Oryzias latipes: one gene and its partner. The protein of the gene in region 1 purifies or fractionates together with the protein of each later gene. This does not show direct contact. Links are inferred from orthologs where the notes say so. Each region holds a gene or a part of one and is shown on either strand. Other genes may lie near its edges.

Region 1 (10,109 bases):
TTTATGGGACGAAGCCCCAACCACTCTAAAGCAGTTTCTGATGAGCCTTTCTCCTCTTTGTTTCATTTTTGACACTTCAAACTGTTGCCCACTATACTCTCCACCAGTTTTTGAGGCAAGTCCAAGAGAAGCCCCGCCCACGTCCTTAAGGTTTGTGCAAAAATCATCTCATATTCTCATCGCTCCCCTTTCTTCAACTTGATCCATTTTTCATAATCCATGAGCAGTATTTGAAGTGAGGAGGAGTATGGAGGGATGCCGTCCTGGTGGTTCAGGTCAACTCAAGCTTACGGTTTTACAGCATTTCATTGGCAAACATCTGCACAAGTGGGCGGAGCCACAATTGAAAGTTGTAAAAATAAATAGGTTTTACGATATGGAATATAAAGCATTACTTTAGCTATAAAAATAATCCTTTTACCTCCTCAGATTTAGCCTTTGGCTCTACATGCTTGCAGTTGTAGTGAACCTGTGAAAAGCTCAGGGCGGCTCTGCCTGAACTAACACTGCACAAGTGAAACTAGCAGGACAGGAAGGCTGCTATGACGGGCCTTTCCCAGACATAAAAACAAGTCTATCTGCAACACTGGTCAATTCTTTGTCCCATCTGATGAATCTGAACCAGCTGCTCGACCACTGCATCACCAACCTCGGGTTCCATTGCAAACTCTACCACCACGATTTTTCTTTCAGTTGAGCCAGCACGGCTGACCAAAAGTGCTTCTTTCTTGAAAACAATACATTGGAATGGTATTAGATCTAACTACACAAAAGAAGAAACCATCAGAGTCTGGACAGCTCTGCTCGCATTAGCACTGACTTGATTTGATCAATTGCTGCAAGCGGAAACGGGTCAAATGAATCATCAAGAAAGACTAGCGTTTGTCCACACCAGCAGCAGACAAAAACACAACTTCACTCACAGACGGGTTTTAAAAACTACCCAAAAGCTTAGAACAAAAGAGGTATAAGGCTAAATAATATAATAAAGTGACTAAACATAAACAAGCATGGGGTAAATGGATGCCTGAACTACAAGACAAACACGGGGACTTAGAAAAAGCCTAACTCATTCTAAACAAAAGAAACTGGTTCAAAACAGCATCTTTGCTTTGATAAATGTTGGGTTTCAGGTGGACAGACTGTGAAGGCCTACTGAACACCACACTTTGGGATCCTTAAGTAGTCATCATCAGTCCACAGCAATTTAAAAGATTCCTAGTTTGAAATGGAGGATAAGAACCAAAAGAATCAGTTTGTGTGGCTCTGACTCCTGCCCACACGGGTCACCGGTGCGCGTTTCTCACTTGTCCATGTCTAGTGTTCTGGTCTATGTCCAGGATTGGAGGGGACACTGGCAAGGAATGTGGTGGGAGGTGCGCTGCATGGCAAGAAGGGTGCGCCACCTTGCCTTGGCAGTCGTGGTGGACAAGTGAGTGACATCCGTTGAAGCAGCTGCGCACCAGGCAACCGAGGAAGAGAGGAGGGGAGGCAGTAATCAGGCCCCCCCTTCTTTGCTTGCCCATCTTCTAACAACAGAGTTCTCCCAACACTGGGATTAGGACATGCTGGTGACCATCTCAAATGTTGATGTCCCGCACGTCTGTTGGCGTGCAGGACAGGTCCACCTCTTCATCCACACGCTTGGCTTCCGTCACGCTGCCATGCTGCTGCGCCTGCCGCAGGCTGGACTCCAGCAGAGACTCAATCTGCTCCTGACACGACCGCAAACAGTCCTGCAAACAAACAACTGGTCAGAAAAAAACGTGCTGCCACTGCGCAACAGCAAAGACACGAGCCCTCTTCAGGGTTAGAGGTTAGACAGTGCGAGGGGTTTTCCATACCGGGTCACTGCGGATGACCTGAGACAGGAAGTTAGTCAGGTTCTGAGAGGACAAGGAGGCATCTTGGCTTTTCAAGTAGAGTCCTTGAACAGCTGCCACCACACTGCCGGCTGCCACCATTGATGGAGGACTGGCTATAAAGTTCACATCTGTAGAGGCAGAAGAACGTTCACATTTGGTTCGGGTATCTGCAAGCCGTTTTCCGTCACATCGTATGTTTGCACGTTTGTTTCTGTTCTTTCAGCATCACCATCCTATGCTGTGGGTTCGAATACCAAAGACCTGACCGGAACAGCAAGTTAACCGTGACGCAAAAACTGCTGACCACTACAGGGAGGAGGAGTTCCTCCAGTTTGATCAATGTATTTTCTAAGCTGACTCAAATCAATTTGGTTTGCAGCCACATTGTCAGGACTCTGAAAGGAAGCCGTCCATCCGTTCTACCATTTATCAGGACTTGGGTAATGGTTTGATTTGAAATATTTTTGGAATATTGTATTACTTATGAGACAGACATATATATAGAGGTCAAAGTTTCATAAGTTACATTAATAATAAACAGAAAACGACCATGCCTGATTGCCTTTAAAAACTTTTGAAAAAGCCCAGACCCCAGTTGTTAAAGCGTGGAAACTGTGAATGAAATGCGACTGATGTGTTTGTGTGAGGTCAGGTTTGACTGACTGGGGCTTGCTGACCAAAAGATGACTTCCTAAATAGCTCACTGGTACTTCCCACCGCTGTTTGACGGCATGGTGGTTTGCAACTATTAGGGCTAATTCAATCTTAACCAGTTAAATATCTATAAATGTGATTGGTGTTTTAATAAACTGCAACAACCCAGAAACCAATAGACATGTAACAAAGAGCTAGTACCTGTAGCGCAGAGAGCCACAAAGGTCTGGGCGTGTTTCCTGAGGATCTGCTTTGTCGATGCGTGGATTGTCAGCTTGGACAGGAAGTGCTCGATGAAGTCATGAGGTGTGACAGAAGCCAGATCCCATTTCAGCTTGCTGAGAACCAGCAGCTCCATTTGCTGTGGAAGGACCAGAGAAGACGCAATGCTTCATTTTGTGGTTGACAAACATTTGTTTTTCTTTATGTAATTTTCCATCAAATGCCATCAATGATAGTTTCTAAATTGACAGGGCTGACCCAGCAGTCAATATTGAATCCTTCTTATGCATAAATAGGCTGTAATGTTCTACCTAAACAAAGTGAATGACAGAACAAGACATTTTCTTTTTTTCTAGCATACATCTTTCTACTGTCTGCACATCTGTCTGACGGCCACTAGGTGTCACTGCAAATTAGCAGACGCCACCAAAGACCATTGATGAAATCAGAGGCCTTCCAGTCTCCATGGGAAAGTGCAGGCAGTCATTCAAACGCTGCAGCAGACTTCCATGCACATTTCAACCACAACGTACATCAGTAGCATGACTGCATGCTTGACATGTTGCAGCCTCGGCGCACCAGCAACCCAGACCGAGCCCTGCCTCCAGCCAACGCGGCCTTCAGGCATTCTGGTCATGTTCTCCCATTGTTACGCAACATCATGTCTGCAAGAACTTAATTACCAGCAGTTCTCCAGGTTGGACCGAGTTGTCTGTGTAGATACAGAGTTTCTCTGCAGTCAATGGTACCGTCTCCTTCATCTTAGATGCCAGAAACATGCATGTAGCTCCAAGCAGCTGGAGTCTGCTTTTCCTGGTGGGCTCCACTGATAAAAATCTGTCCAAATAGTTCATTGCCAACGGAAAAACCTCCTCCTCGCATTTCTGTTCCTCACAGACCTAAAAGAAAAAGAAAATAAAGTGTTTTAGAGGCCGACACTGGCATGGAGACATTTCTTTCTGTTCAAATGGAACAATGATTTCACTTTCTGTAAGCAGTCTGTCTTCCATCCTGCACACTATGATCCTCTCCAACTAATTTAGAAAAACTAAAGCATCTTTCATTTTTCGGCTTTTAAAATACGTGGAAAAAAATTGTTAAAACCTACAGACCAACTCTCAAGAAAAGGCTGGAAAAGCAGGTGAAAGCTGCAGCGGGAATGAGTTTACAGTCAGTTCTGACGGAGACACAAAGGTGGCGTCGACGCAACTTTCACTCCAATTTCAACTTCGTCATCTTTTCAAAAAACACTTTAAAATATTAACAAAAATCGCAGGCTGCTTATTTTAGCAGATACATGAAGCTGAAGGCGCGCCTGATCGGATGATAATGTCATTTGTCTTGTTTGGAGAACAAATTGGTTTTTATTTTTATTTTTTAGGCGAAGATTCTTCACGTGCTGCAGCCGCTGCTCGCACAGCCCGATGCCACATTTCAAAAATTAATTAAAAATATTTAACCTAAAGACTTTTGAACTGAAAGTTGATGTAAATGTTTGAAATGCTTCTGAGTATCAGATCCGACGGATCCGGTCCGTCTGCGCTTTGGATTTTCGAAGGAATCTGCGTTTTTTGGCGTGAAGTTCGTGGCCGTGGCTGCGCCTCCGGAGGCCGAACAAACTCCAGCTTTCGATCCCGCTTCAAACTTTATTCTCTTCTCGTGTCAAAGTCCGCGCTTTACCGGCCCGTTCCCCGTTATTTCTGTTAAAATGACATCATTCAAATCAGATCCCGAAGCTCCGCAAACACCGCAACAAAGATGGCGCGTAATCAGAAACTGGCACGCACCGGGCTGCATACGTGTACACCGGGAACGTTTCGCTGAAAACGTCCCGTTGGACCGAAACATCAGCTGAAATGGAAAAGAGCTGACGGGGAATGAAGTCGGCGGATGATCAGAGGCGCGCGGCCGAAGCCGAAGGGAGGCCAACCCTCACGCGAGCAGCAAGCCGCGTGAAGAAACTAAGCGGCGTGAGCGAGGCGCTCCAAACTTTGGCGTGACCTGCGGTTCCGGTCAGAACAGCTGGCAGCTTAGACGCACAGAGCTGATACCTCTAACATCCAGGTGGCCAGAATCTTCCTCATGTTGGGAGCGATGTCCTTCTGAACACACTTGAAGTAGTTGGGCGCCGGCAGGTAGTTTTCCTCCGCCTTCAGCATGGTCCGCAGGACGCGCTCGTTCAGCAGGTTGACGTCCTGGTGGGCTCTCCGGATGGAGTCCACCTCGCAGCACAGCAGCTGCTCCTCCATGGTAGCAGGACGAGAGCGGAGTCCGCCGGCGGTCCGGGCCGTGTTCCCGCGGGCAGGAGGCTGCACACACCAACTTTCAGCGCCCTTTCTTCTCGCGTGGCTTCTGCTGCCGCGTGCTGCTGCCCCTTCGGTCGCGCGAGCCCTCTGAGGGCCAGACCTCTCTGCTCTCGAAGACAAAACCCCCGATCCGTGCGCGCGTTGCGTGCGCGACCACGAACACGCGCGCACACAAAGTTGATCTGCAGAGCGCACAGTGGAGAGGTGGTGAGAAACGGTGGATGCGCGCGGTGACGTCAGCGGTTGTTAGGGCGGGGGGTATCAAAGACACATGCAGTCTGCTGGGGAGCGCGCGGAAGGGATTGTTTTATGTCCATATGTATGTGCGGGGGGAGGGCTCTGGTGGAGAGGTGGGAGGTCCGGCCCACCGGCGAACGCTTCCATCCTTTGGTCGGTAGGGGGCGGTGGCGATCCTACACCCCCCCGAACCCCCACCCCACCATATGTCTTCCTGGGATTGAATGAAACCGACAACATGAGGTTTCCACGAAAGGACAGGGACACGCCGTTTGCTCCATTCAGGAGATCCCACCAACCGTTGTGGCTGAAAGCAAACAGGGTTGGAATCCAAGCAGTCAGAGAGGAACCAGGTTCAGGGCGCGTGCACACTGCATCCCCACTTCAGACACATGAAACAGATTCAGGTCATTTCAACCAGATCAGCATCTTCTTTTAACTTCTGGAAGTTGCGAATCTCAGCTCGGTTGAAAACGTGACAGGAGCTGACTTTACCTCAAAAGATTCCTGTGAGACGTTCAGACAGACAGGAGGAGACTAGAGTCGCACCAATGGGAGGAATTGCTGTTACTAGGCAGATGTTGGTGTAACTTTCATGTAGGGAAAAGTTCATTGCTCTGAAAAAGTTGACCCTGATAACCCTCACAAAGTCCTTTCACACAAACTTCCAAGTCAACATTGCAGTTTTGTGTTTGTGGACAACTTCCTGATGCTGAGTTCACTATGGTAAAAAAAAAAAGAAGCTCTTTTTTCTCTTCAGTCTTATAAGTTGTAAATCAGGTAGAACAAGCCTCTTTCTGTCCTTTATTATACATTTAGGCACTTTAACGAAAATGTAAAAAGTACAAACAGAGCACTTTTTAATCCAGTTTCAATATGAATCAGAGCTTTTTGCATTCCTGAAATTCCACTTTGGGCCGTTTGGTTGACTACCGTAAAGCCTGAAGAGGGGGTCCATGTGCTGGAAGAGCTTAAAGTCACATCAACACATTCCCAGTCTCCTGCTTTTTAAGGACTAAACATCTGAAGTGAAAGTTGCTGTGTGACAAAAAACAATCCTCATTTACCTGTGCAGGAATAAAGAGCAGATCCCAGGATATACTGAGAAATCCTCTCAACGTTTATGTCTGTTCCTTTATTTTTAAATATTCTAAACGTTGTCTACTTTTTGAGTGTCCGGCTTTTGATGTTGTAGTTCATGCATTGTTGGTCTGAAACCGGAATCTTACCTCTGCAAAAGTTCTGATGGAATAAGGTGATGAACGTGAGCAACAGAATTTTCTGATTCAAAACATTTATTTTTAATAATTTAATGGAAAGGCTTTTTTGTGTGACCCCATTTCACAAACAAAATCCCCTTAATATCCAATTCTAATACAACTTTATATCTTTTAAATGTGCCCTCTGTTGTTACTTTTAAGACATTTTCTAAACTTTATCTGTTGCTTTTGTGTTATTTCGTAACCAGTTATGAACCGTTAACACTGCTTTCAATAGCAAAAAGCATTCTCCCTCTTTTCCCCTCATTTCCTTCACACAAACATTTCTCATTTGAGTCCTTTCAGCCCCCTCTCATGTAAAGAAAGACAGGGGCTTACTGTGGGAGACAAAGGGAGCTGGAGCATGTGACTTTTGGCATGAGCCTCTTCTATCTGCTTTATGGTAACGGCACAGACGTTTAAAGGGACAGTGGGGAGTTGGCCTAAAACCAACTGGCAGAATGCTTCCTACCCCACAGGAACACACAGGAACACATGTTGTGAGGCAGCAGTATAAAAACATAAAGGACTTTGCAATTCCCAATAGTGTTTACTTATAGAGCCAACAACTGGTGAGGCAAAATTGATCATTTGCTCATTTTTAGCAATACAAGTGTTACTGATGTAAAAAAAAAGAGTTGCTTTTTCGATATAATTATATTAAAGAATAAATAAAAATGTAACAGGATGTGATCAGAAAACAAACATGTTTTACAATGTCAGTTTTTTATAAACTTCCAGTGCAACCAACTGATCTTTAATGGTTTGATGTGTGTTTTTGTACTTTAGCATGTCGAGTATTTTATGAAGTAGATCTCCTTCATGACATCTAAACATCAGAATCTGAGGTGGTGAATCAAAACTATACAAATATGTAACCATGGACAATTTGCTGTTAAAAGCTGCACTGTGTTTTATGATTCATCTTATGGTTAACAGTTGGGGTTAACCAACAAAGACAGAGGCAGTGTCAATCCCACTTTGTGGTTTTCCTTTATGTTATGAACCTCTCAGTGTGCTTTTATGCCGTGCATTACCAGATCTGACTAACAAGTCTGAACACATGTGAATCCTGCACAGAACTTAATACCATTGACTGTTTACAGGAACTGGATTGAGTGGATTTAATGTTGCATTGAAAATGCCTTACCTAATTCAATCACCAGTTTTCTCCAAGACGGACGTTGCTTTGTTGGACCCAGACAACAGTGATTGGTCCGAGTTGTTCTGATGCTACGTATCTATGGCAACTACTGTCGCCAATCATGAGTGTGCTTGTTCAAAGTCCACACCCATCGAAAGAGGGCTCAGGAGAATCTGTCACTCAAGCGTTCAAGGTGGGGGCAGGCAGGCTCCACATGCTTTTACTGAGGCATCTTATTGATCAGTTTATAAATAAATAACTTGCGATGAAGACAAAATGTTATGAAAAACCAAGTGGACCATCAAAAACGTGTTTAAAAAGGTATCAGAGCAAGAATGGTAATTCTGATCAATAGAATGACTGAGTAACAGCTGTTCATTTCTCTATAGAAGTTTATGGGATTTTGGCTTCTTGGAGCCTGCAGGTACTTCCTAGTTGGAATGCAAGGGGGGGGGGTCACTTTGTCCGGCTCTTTATATACAGTCAATGCTTAATACTCTGCCAGATCGCAATGTCTAGCCAAGATGAGCAGGATTCATACATTTGCACCACAGTTTTCTAAGTTCCAATCCACCAACTTGAAAACAGCAATTAGTTAACAGCAATTTGAAGTAAGCAAAATATGTATCAACCAAAACACCATTTTGGTTTGCATGATATACCTTTGAGTTGCTTGGGTGAAGTCTTATCTCTGTTGTAGACTTTAATGACAGAAAACAATAGTATTTCATTGTACAGTGGTCCCTCAGTTCACCTTTCACAGTCTTGCTGCGAGTGTCTTACTGCCACTTATAAATCACCTGCAGACCCTTACTAACAATTACAGTGTGGCGTAATGTACTGCATTACAACATCACCCAGATGTAATAACTGCTTACTCTATGGTCACAAATACTTCATGATAATGGTACATTCCATTTTCATAACATCCCTCAAGGTGGCCACATGAGTCTCAAGGGAACTTCAAGACAGTCTTTTTAAAATGAGGAGTGTTGGGTCCGGACAAGCCAAAAACCAGCGCCATGTGACTAAGGCACAAGCCATGTAAAGTCTACAGTCCTTTAGTAAAATGAAAATGCTTCATTTTGAAAAACTTTTGTTGGATTGAATTATGGATGAGGTCATTCTAAGACTTAATGAAAAAATGCCAAAGCTGCTTGCAAGCATGCTTTGATTCCTTGTTGAGTTAAACTAGATCAGGTTCTGGTGGTGAGAAGCAAGACAACTGTTGCATTACTTTTTAGCAAGGCCTTGTCTTATGTCATAAGCTAAAGTGAAGAACTCCTAAAAGTCTCCACCAGCTTCTCATCAAAACCTTTTATTGTTGACATTGTTCAATTATATTTTGGCATTCAATTTGACTACCCTGCCATTTAAACTTTGTGACCAAACACAAGTTCTTAGCTGTTTCAAGACCAACAAAGTAAAGATTAGTTGCAAGAACTTCATTTGGGGGGTGGGGGGGGGGTGGGGGGTCTCCATTGCAGGAGCCATTGCTCCAGCTGATGTTAGTGCACACAAAACGATGCTGGGCTTTTCCAAAATTTCCCTTTATTGAAGGACTCCTGATGGAGGCAGACTTTTAGTTGTTGTCAACCACGACTTTGTAAACACTGTGGTCCCCCAGTCTGCTTATGCTTTAAGAAAAAAGTTAGTACATTGGTTTGCGTCACTATTAGATTCATGTGTGTCGTTTGATTGTATATCTTTCAGAAGAAATGCTTTCATGGACTTTAAGAGTTTCTTTTCAGGTTAGTTAAGTTCTGAAACACCATCTCAGTGCGATGTAGACACATCTTTGAGCAAACATCCTTTTAATACCTGCAAACACAAGCGTTGACCAATACTTTTGTTTGTGGGTGTGTGTGAATTATCTTAATGACTCGTCCTATTATCCACCTGTGCACATTTCCCTTTCTCGTTTATTTGCTGGGAAATCTCCTGGAACATAACAGTCAGTTTTACAAACTATAACTAAAAGGAGGTTGTGTGTGTCTGCAGGAGTGTTGAAGTGGTGACATTTGTCTTCACCCACATTCTACATCCAGCTTTGAAGTCCTAGTGCCTCTTCATATTCTAAATATGACCTCCAACAGCACATGCAGTGTGTGAGGGCTTCCTTCACTCACTGAAAGGGAGAAGGCAGAGAAGAAGGGGCTTTCCCCTGTGAATGAAGCTCCTTTCTCAGCTGAGGGCAGGTCCACAATGACCTCGCAAAGATGGATAGGGAGATTGTCCTGTGAAGTGATCCACGAACAGTGATAGGTGGGGGTCGATTTGTGTGTGTGTGTGTGTCCTGCACAAAAAGTGACCTAACAGCACCTCTGTTCTGGCAAGATGGGTGGGTGCTCAGAGGCCATGTAGGGCCAAGGGCAAGGATAAGAGGGAAAACAACCCCAACACAATGGGTCAGTAGGAGTTT
Region 2 (10,051 bases), on another chromosome or scaffold:
ATTTAAATATATAAAAGGCTTTTTATTGAGGATTAGCTGTAATCTGGACTGCCAGCGTTTAGCATGTCTATTCTGTGACAAAGTGCCCCAAAACCATACAAAACGGAAAATCAAAAGCCAGACCAAAAGAATGAAAAGTTCCTTTTTCTGGGAATAAAGAAAACTGGGATCAGAGATGAAAGAAAAGGATGAAGGGGGTAGTGTAAGCGGTTTAATAATCTGTGTTCATAAATAGAGGCCGAATATTTGGTTGCAGTTTCAGTTTTCAGAAACAAAACATTTTCTCTGAAGGTCTTTTGTTCCGTTTTGCTTTGATGAAACCCAAATAACAGGAAAAAAAGCTCTAAACCTAAACAAAAAGGTGAAGCATTTTTCAGTTACTAACTGACATTTGTCTGTCGTGTAAACCCGCCGTCTACAACGATTAAAAGTAGCTGTCTTAGTTAATTACTGGACAGGAAGGTATTTAATAAAAAAAATGTTCCGATTCGTCCGAAACATCTCCAATGACATCCAGTTTTTTCAGACTCATTTCCTGCAGGGTTTCATTTCTTTGCTTTTGCATGAGGACTCAAAATGAGTTCACCTCATTTGAAAAGCCAATGCTTTAGGTTTTAAAGTAATTTAGCTCATGGCAAACTGGTACCATGTTATGAAGTGAACTGTAAACACTGCAACTTGCAATTTTTCTCTTTATTTTATGGTCTTAAATTGATTTTGGAGGGGGGAAAAAAGAGAAATAAATTAAAGACTATAGAATGTATCTAATGTTGTAAATCAGGAAGCATGTATAAAATGGTTCCAATGTAAAAAAAAATAAAAAATAAAGTACCACTGAGGCTTTGCTTCACACAGAGGCAAAAGCGAAGCGTTTGAAAGCCAGTCGGGGGATTTGCCTTATTTGAATGAGTCCTAACTACCAGACAGGTTGAAGGATTATTTATTCATTCTTGCAGCTCCAGCTCGGCGGGGGCAGCGCAGCCTTTATGGTGGGCAGAAATCGGCAAAGTAAGGGTGCTGCAAGGCTTCCTCTGCAGAGATCCTCTGGACAGGATTACATTTCAACAGATTCTGGATAAGATCAAAGACAAAAACTTTAATGAGCGAAAAACATTCTTAGAAAAAAACCCAAAACAAATTCCAAGTATCACTACGTCAACTCAAGTGAGTGAAGTGAAGTACAGGATTTTAAACAGCGTAACATGTAAACTCCTCAAAGATCACATTAAAATGAAACCCCCTATAATAACTCAATATATAAAAAAGAGGCCCGTTTGGAGTACCTGTAGTAAATCCCGTCCTGTATTACTTAGTTTTGGAACCACGTTAACCAGTGAGGTGGTTGCTGGATACATAGGATATGGCTGGCAAGAAAACAAACAAAAAAAAAGAAAATTGTTAGCAGTTGATTCAGAAAGTAAATTGATATAAAAGTTGGATGAATTAATTTACCTTGTAATCTGGAAGTTTTGTCATTGTTGGCCACTGCTCCTCCGTTGGTGTACCCAACAATGTATCAAAAACACTTAAAGAAGAATGTTTCTCAAAGCAGATTATTATTATCATACAATGGGAATAATTGGCTTTTTACTGACAGTGCATGTAAAAATATTGAAAGAAAAAAAGAAAGGATATCTGAAGATCCTTTTTAATTGGTCGTCGACATCATTGCCTGGGAATAAAGGGCGCCCGGCGTTTGCCAGTTCTGAAACACGGCAGAATAAGCAATGAGGTTTCATCTGGTTTCTAAAAATGCATCATATGTTAGACAAAACAGGAAGTGCTAGACAGCTGATCACATCTTTTAATCCCAGGTTCAGAGCTTCTATATTTAAGCCCACGGCTCCACCATTTTCCTTTCTTTTTTTGAATCTCCAACACATGAAATGCTTTGTAGCTGGCAGCAAGGCTGAATGTAAACCATCCTACACAGCTGATACGTTGATCCTATAGATTTACATTAATTGCAGAAGACAATATCCCAACTAGAGTACAAGAAAACCTGTGTTTGATATTTATGTGCTCGATGCTGACGTCTTTTTCACCACCGCAGTATGATCATTTACTTATGCAAAACCCAATTCCAGACATTGCATACATTTACATTCAGTGGAGGACAGAGGATGTAAACAGGCATAATTCAGGAAATGCATACATATTTGGAGAGAAAAGCGTTCCTCCTTTAAGGCAAAATAAAACAAATCAATTCCGGTTGTTATTAAAGGGACAGTCAGTTTAAAATAAAAAATAACACAAAATGTTTTCTGGACACGGGCAGATTTAAATGATCCGTGTTCTAGCCGATTTGAAATAGACATCTATTATAATGCATATAGTTAAGATTTATCTCCTATTTAAATCAAGTCACAAATTACACACTAACCTGCAAAAATGCATCCAGCTGACCACATGTCAATGGAGGTAGAATAAAGTTTAGCACCAAACAGCACATCTGGAGGTCGGTACCACAAAGTCACCACCTGCAAAAATTACACTGAAGTTCAGAAGCACTGAAAAACAAGGAAAGTACTACAGACATGGTTCTGTGCGCCGCCGTGCCTCTGAGCTGGATTCATAAATGAGATTCAGTTGTAAGTACAAAACAAGCACATCTTCTACAGAACTAATTATATTTATGCAGGCATTTCCCCCCCATATTTTGTTCAAATACTGCAGACAAAAGGGCACTGTTCAGCAGAAGGACTAAATATAAAGCAACAACTGAAATCTTCTGCATTTTAAAGAGTGAGCGCTGTTTAAAAGTCGCTGTTTTTCAGCTAAAAATGTGCAAAAACCACCCTAATTGCAGATGTAAACGATGTGACTGAAACACAACTCTGTCCTTAAAGGCCATTTCACAAATAAAATAAGTTGAAAAATATAATTTCATTAACCGAAACGACTTGCTTTGCTCTCATTTCATTTTTGGTAAGACTGAATGATGCAGAAAACTAAAACCAAAACTCGAACTCAGGGGTCTGCAAACATGTACCTCTCAAAGAGCCATTAGGGTCAGTTTCCCACAGAAATGAAAGCACAGGGAGCTGCAACACTAAGGGGGGTTGGAAAAAAAATGGTTTCGCCGAAATATTGCGATAGTTCATTTGGCAATACATGTATTGATTCAAAATGCTGTCAGGATATTTATTTAATTATTTATTTTAATTATTTATGAGCGTTATCTTTCCTTTGATCTTTTGACCATTTTACACAACCTTGAATAGACTTCTGTCTGTCAAACACCCAGAATTAAGATGAGTGAGATGATGGAAACAAATTCACTTTGATGCAGACTCCTGTCTACATAGGGTCATTGTAACAGATAGTTCACAGGATAGTAGGAGTGTCCTAACGCAAATTTAATTAATTTTATGCAGAAATGGGTGGTTTTAGTCTAAGAAAAAAAAAGGTTTTTTTTGGGCGTTCACGCTCCTTTCTACCTCCTGCCCACTCGCGTTACCCGACGGTGTTAAAGGCACCACGACAATCTTAGAACATGACCGTTATTTTACTAAACCACAGAGAGCCTCAGCATAACCATTCCTGCCTGGCTATTTCTTAATAGTTAAATTATTAGTCAAATTGCTTCGAACAAAACTCCTTACTCTTCAAATAATTTTAAAAAAAAAGAAGCCAAAATATCTGCATATTCAAGTCCTACAATTTTTACCACAAGTGGTCACTTATTAGCTTCTGGTGCCATAAGATACAACCAACCTCTGCAGAGTAACACCTCACTGGAATACCAAAAGCTCGGGCCAGCCCAAAATCAGCAAGCTTCAACTCTCCATTCTGCACAAGCAGAGAAAAAAAAGCCATTATTACTATCGTTTATTTGCTTCAGACAGACTAACATTACACAAATACTCAAACTACTCATTTACTGTAGAACACAGATGCCGTAGTAAAATCAGTATCCAAATATGAGTAAACACTCACTCTGTTAATGAGGAGATTCTGAGGCTTCAGGTCTCTATGAAGGACATTTCGACTGTGACAGAAAGCTAGACCTTTCAACAGCTGGTACATGAATGACTGCAAAGAAACAGATGTGTATTTACGGTTCAGCATATATAGATTGTTACTACAGGATGTTATAACTCAAAAGAGCTGAAGATTTATCTCTAACCTTCACAGTTTCAGGATCTAGATCTCCATTGCAGCTGTCAAAATATTTCTTCAAATCCTGCATTAAATGTGTGATACACATTAGATTTGAAAGGGATCAGAGAAATGTACTTTAAGTAGTAACTCACCTGATCACAATACTCAAAGACCAGGGTTAACTTCTTGTCACTGTGCAACACATCGTGTAATCTGATGATAACAGAAAAAGCCGTGATGGTTACTGTCCTTATTTATACTACGATGTAATTCACCGTTTAATTAAAACTATAATATTGACATTGAACTGACCTGACAATGTTTTTATGCTTTAGTTCCTTCAAAAGACATATTTCCCTCAAAGCAGAACTCGGAACCCCCTGAAAAGGAATGATTTGTGTCAGTGTTACTTAGCTTGCTAAAACTACATCTGTCAACTGTGTTTACAAACCTCATCGTCATCGTCTAGTCTGACTCTTTTTAAAGCCACAATTTCGTGTGTTTCTCTGTTTTTAGCCTTGAAAACAGTCCCATAAGTACCTACAAAGAAAATTACAGTTCGATCATTTTAATTTGGTAAAGTTTCCGAATGACAAAAGAGCTAAGTAACTATTCATTTATTTCAATGTTTAAAACATTAAAGCTAAAACATAACAAATCTTGGAGCAATAACTTGTTTAAAATCCATGCAAAAAAATGTTTTCTCAGGTATATGATGGTAAGAGTATTGATTTTATAAAACAGAATATTAAAAACATAAATCGGTATGCTTGCTAGCATTAGCTAAAACTAGCTAGCGCTATTTTTTAAAGATTTAATATAAACTTACCCTCTCCTATTTTCTCAAGCTTTTCATATTTCTGCATCTTTTGGCAAATAAAACCGGCCCAAAAAAAGCCAGAAAACTAATATCGAACTAACACCCCAAAACTGGGGTGGATACAAACACAGGTTAGCTCCAACCGTTAGCCTTTATCGACACTTGCTGCTTCGCTCGCAGACAGTCCTACTGCAATTTTGTGCCTGATGGCCATCTAGAGGCTTGGAGGTGCGCTGCAGCTTTCTGACGTGCAGCAGCACTACCCCCTTTATTTATTTATTTATTTATTTATTTATTTATTTATTTATTTATTTATTTATTTATTTATTTATTTATTTTTAATGATTTGTGATTTCCCGTGACTGGTATGGTAGCATTTCTATTGCATAATTAAAAATGTATTGACTTTTACTTTTAATTATGCAACAGAAATGGACTGGATGGACCAATATTTTGTCATTTTGAATGTGCATATATTGAAACACTTAAGGTATTTACGGGGGAACAAAGTTTGAAGTCCTTAAATCTCAGTAAATGCAAAACAACACACAACCAAATAAAAAATAATGGATTTTTTACTATTGTTTTAAAGAATATTGTTTAAATTATTCGATAAAGTGAAGTTAAAATAATAACTTTTGCTCTATTAATGTAGTACTACATTAATTAAATTAATTAAAATGCTAAAAACAGCTTTTAAATTTGACTCCAATAATCTTCTTTTTGTATCAATTATTAATTTAAAAAATACCCTTCCAAATCAAAAGTCAAACTGCAAACACATCAGCTGCAAGCCTTGTGCTGATTTGTTCAGTTTATGTCACATGTGGTCAATTTTATCATCCATGTAATAAATTTGAGTAAGGATAGCAAATACATGAAGCTTTTATGCTAGTATGTAGACTTCAGCTGCAAGATTAAAAAAGAAATGACCTAATAAAATGGGCTGTTAAAGACAATAACTCAAAGTGGGTTCAATAAAATAATGAATAACTAAAATTAGAAATCGTCCAAAATAAGAAAAACTAGCAGGGCTTTGTAAATATAAGTAGAAAAGCTCATATGAGCTTTATGTCATTTATCTTAAGTGGATGGTTGTCAATTAAGAAAATTCAGAAAAAAGATAATGAAAAATCTTGTTTTCAGTCAAATCAACTTTTATTGTTTTCACAGTTATTGAAGCTTCTCACAAGGGAAAAAAAATAAATTATTGTCACGTTAGTTAAAAGTAACATGTTTACAATGCTGTAGCTTAACTAACACAGGTTGGTCTATTTATGATTTAACACAAAGAGGGATTTCTTAGGTTTCTAAAGACAAAAAGTAAACATTTACACCTCAATTACCCCAATGCATTTATTAAATCTGTTTATAGTTGATCTACATAAAGAAAAAGTTCTTCCGTTTTCATTTCTTCTCCTCAGCTCTCTGTCTGCGGATCAGATCGGAGTAAATACCTCCTTTGCTCAGCAGTTCCAGGTGTGTTCCGGCCTGAAAGAAAATTAAAAAATAGTTTGTGGATAAGATGAAAAATTGAAGCTAAAAAGAAAATTTAACAGTGCTCAGCTGATTATCACAAAGGCCATGCATGTTACTGATGAAGCAACAGCAATACAAGGTGGAATTAAAATTGGCTGAACAGTCCAGTAAACCAATGCTAGTTGGATATTTTTTAATGTCTTATTCTAATAAGTTTTAAATTACTCATAAATGTTATTTTATCTTAAATTTCACCTTTAACTAGAATAATCCTCAGGAACCTGATAAATAATAATAGTAGTTATACTTGCATTCAATGTAACAATCCAACCTCAGTCTTGGGGAAGTTGCAGCTAAAAAACTGTCTGATGTGCAAACATTTTTGATAACTTTCATCAGTCTGTTCCTCAAAAACAAACCTCCTAAACCAGGGGTGGGCAATTATTTTAACTCACGGGCCACTTTGGTTTCTAAAATTCGATAGAAGGGCTGGACCACAAGCAGATGTGTGCAGTGAGAATGATATAACATGGAATGTAGATGAAAACTTTTGGATTGAAAATTATATTCTACAACAGAATATTCTAGAGTTATTAGTTTAAAACCTTTGTTCCTATTTTCTATTTTTTATTGTGAAGCCCTTTGGTATCTTCAAGGAGTTGTAAAGTGCTGTGTGAATAAAGTTTCATTCATTTATGGCGCTTTTAATAAAATAAATAACACTATTTATGAAATAAAACAATAACCAAATAACACTCTATGATTTTCAAAGACAAAAATTCAGGAAAAATATACTGATACATAAAAAAAACATTAAACAATAAATAGTGGATCCTCTCCCGTCATAATCCTAATAAAGACTTTGAGCGCTGAGGCTCAGCAGTTTGCATAGCTGTTCTGTGTCCTGCACGTCTGTTTCTCATCCAGTAACAATGAAAAAAGCTAATGTCTCTGTCTTCTGCTGCAGCTACGCATATCTGTGTTACCTTTTCACCAGTACAGAGTTCCCTCGTTTATTGCAGGAGTTCTAAAAATAACAGTGATCGGTGAAATCCACGGAGTCTGATTACAGACGTTTATGGCATCAAAACTCCTCACTGCTAATTACACTTTTCTCACACAGACATGAACATTTTCACCCTTGTCTTTTGTTTAAATTCTCAAACTTTCATAGAAATTAGGTCCAGGATCATAGAATGAAAACAAAGATGAGATCATCAAAGATTTCTGATCTGAAGAGCTCCGCCTTTCTGTACAGGAGACTGAGGAGATTGAATGACAAGGTCTCCAGCCAATCAGGACACAGAACAGGGTGCACTGTTTAAAAAACGCAGCATGATCGCTCTAAAAAAAATGAGCTAAACCGGGAAAGATGAACTGCGACGTAGAAAGGGAAGACTGTCTTCTGTTCTGTTTGACAGAGACTTTTAGAGGGTTTCAGATTGGAGCACAGACTGCAGAAGGGGGGACTAAAATGTCAGTTCTTGATCGTGTGGCCAGATTAAAAAAACAAAACAAAAAACATGGGTCTCTGATATTGTTCAGTGGGCCGGACCAAACATTGAGGCGGGCCGGATCCAGCCCGCGGGCCGCGGTTTGCCCACCCCTGTCCTAAACTGTTGATTTCTCAGATTAAGGGCACAGTGAATAAGTGTCTGATGTCTGAATTTCAGATGTGCCCTCCAATATACTTATACCTCCAAACAAACGCTCCCAAAATATACAGTGCGACCTCTTGTGGCCCTGTCCAAGCAGAGCGTAGTGAAATACGTTTTTTTCAAATTTCCGACAACATTGAATTTGGATTTAGCCTTAATTGGCAAAGTTACTATGGCAACCATTTGCAGGATTCAAATTAGAATACATTTCCCTTCTGGTCTGATGTATTTGGATTTTGGAGTCTTTGTTTTTGTTCAGAGGAATGCAATTCTTAAAATGATCTAAAATATGTCATTCTGAGTTCTTGAGTCATAAAGATGCTGCATAGCAACAACAGCAACTTAGACGAGCCTTTGAAGTCCAGCTGCTCTGATGAACAGAAGCCCACAATAAAAGGAACCTTAATCCGAAAAGACTTACTCTAAGTCTTAGAGTCTATGCACTGCTGTAGTAGACAGAAGGCTAATTTACTTATTTGGCATAATTATCCCTCACCTCCACAATGCGTCCATTACTCATAACACAGATAAGGTCAGCCCGCTGGATTGTGCTCAGTCTGTGGGCAATAATTAGCACGGTGCGACCTCTTGTGGCCCTGTCCAGAGCCTCCTGCACCACTCTCTCTGACTCTGCATCCAGAGCGCTGGTGGCTTCATCCAGTACCAGGATGCTGGGGTTTTTGATCAACGCGCGGGCGATGGCGATGCGTTGTTTCTGCCCACCCGATAGCGTAGCGCCTCTCTCACCTGACGACAGAAACCCGGAGCTTAGACTTGACAGTGATCGCATAAGCGTGTGAGATTGATTCCCATCACGTACCAACCAGGGTGTTGAAGCCTTCTGGGAAACTTGTAATGAAGCCGTATGCGTTGGCTTGCTTTGATGCTTCAATGACTTCAGCATCGGTGGCTTCTGGCTTCCCGAAACGAATGTTTTCCATGATGGACGATCCAAACAAAACTGGTTCCTACGGGAAAAAAGTGCAGTGAATAAAGAAAATGGGAAACCAATCAACTTAAAAACATTTGTTATGAAAAAAAGTGGGTGCCAGCATTTACCTGATTGATAAATCCAATGACTTGCCCTCTGAGCCAAGACAGGTCGAGAGTTCGAATATCGAGGCCATCCAGCATGATTACACCACTGGATGGGTCATAAAAGCGCTCCAGCAGGGCTGCTACTGTAGACTTTCCTAAAAAACATGATATTTTTAAGGTTAATTGCTTCTATGTTTATATGTCAGACATTAAAAATTCTAATAATAAAAATTCACCTCCTCCAGATTCTCCAACGATAGCGATGGTCTTAGATGGTGGCAGCATCAGGTTAAACTTCTTTAAGACTTCATGTCCAGGTCTTGTTGGATAACTTTCAATACACACACAACAGGTAAACATTTCATATAAGTTAATGCATTTAAATATCTTGATTCCATTATCTAAGATGATTCTAACCTGAATGAAATGTTCATAAAGTCCACCCTTCCCATCAGAGAATGATGTGGGATGCGTCCTCCCCCACAGAGGGGGATGGAGGGCTGCAGAGAAAGGTATTCAAATACCCGGGCCCCAGAGCTTATTCCTCTCACCATCTGCAATTAATAAGAAAATTATAATAATAAATATTGGTTTTTATTAAAGTCTACATGGGATGAACTACTACTCACCTGTCCAAAAAGGATGGAGATGCTTGCCAAAGACCTGTGCAGAAAGAGAATGCATGCAATAGTGAAAACACTTTCTTTACCAAACTAAACACCCACTGCAATCATCTTTTGATCTATCTTCAAAGTGTTCCCAGTGGCTTTTTAGTTGTGATTGTGCTGTTTTTAGCCAAAATCGTCTTCTTTTCCTTTCAGCTTCTCCCTTCAGGAGTTGCCAGAGCGAATCAGCTTCCTCCATCTAACCCTTTCCTCTGCATGCTCTCCTCTAAAACCAGCTACCGTCATGTCTTTGTTCACTCACTCACTTATCTTTATCCTAGAAACGT

Evidence for each region.
Region 2: the proteins of ccnd1 (region 1) and cdk5 purify together in Homo sapiens (co-immunoprecipitation; 4 studies listed by BioGRID and IntAct, counting the BioPlex papers as one, with this or other methods). This does not show direct contact. The link is inferred for Oryzias latipes from reciprocal best matches to the Homo sapiens genes CCND1 and CDK5.

Annotation. Positions count from the first base shown.
Region 1 is NC_019861.2:4,927,468-4,937,576, forward strand, and holds the start of ccnd1 (G1/S-specific cyclin-D1), read right to left. Parts: upstream 5,304-10,109; 5' UTR 4,991-5,303; coding exon 4,793-4,990; intron 3,641-4,792; coding exon 3,425-3,640; intron 2,881-3,424; coding exon 2,721-2,880; intron 1,994-2,720; coding exon 1,845-1,993; intron 1,737-1,844; coding exon 1,581-1,736; 3' UTR 1-1,580. UniProt on the Homo sapiens protein: Regulatory component of the cyclin D1-CDK4 (DC) complex that phosphorylates and inhibits members of the retinoblastoma (RB) protein family including RB1 and regulates the cell-cycle during G(1)/S transition.
Region 2 is NC_019875.2:27,781,891-27,791,941, forward strand, and holds the start of cdk5 (cyclin-dependent-like kinase 5), read right to left. Parts: upstream 5,135-10,051; 5' UTR 4,971-5,134; coding exon 4,934-4,970; intron 4,645-4,933; coding exon 4,556-4,644; intron 4,485-4,555; coding exon 4,417-4,484; intron 4,318-4,416; coding exon 4,257-4,317; intron 4,187-4,256; coding exon 4,130-4,186; intron 4,036-4,129; coding exon 3,940-4,035; intron 3,793-3,939; coding exon 3,718-3,792; intron 2,481-3,717; coding exon 2,384-2,480; intron 1,706-2,383; coding exon 1,636-1,705; intron 1,514-1,635; coding exon 1,453-1,513; intron 1,365-1,452; coding exon 1,284-1,364; intron 1,072-1,283; coding exon 985-1,071; 3' UTR 1-984. Other genes in the region: abcb8 (ATP-binding cassette sub-family B member 8, mitochondrial), read right to left, coding at 6,332-6,415, 8,558-8,808, 8,882-9,029, 9,121-9,254, 9,336-9,430, 9,517-9,653, 9,729-9,762. UniProt on the Homo sapiens protein: Proline-directed serine/threonine-protein kinase essential for neuronal cell cycle arrest and differentiation and may be involved in apoptotic cell death in neuronal diseases by triggering abortive cell cycle re-entry. Interacts with D1 and D3-type G1 cyclins.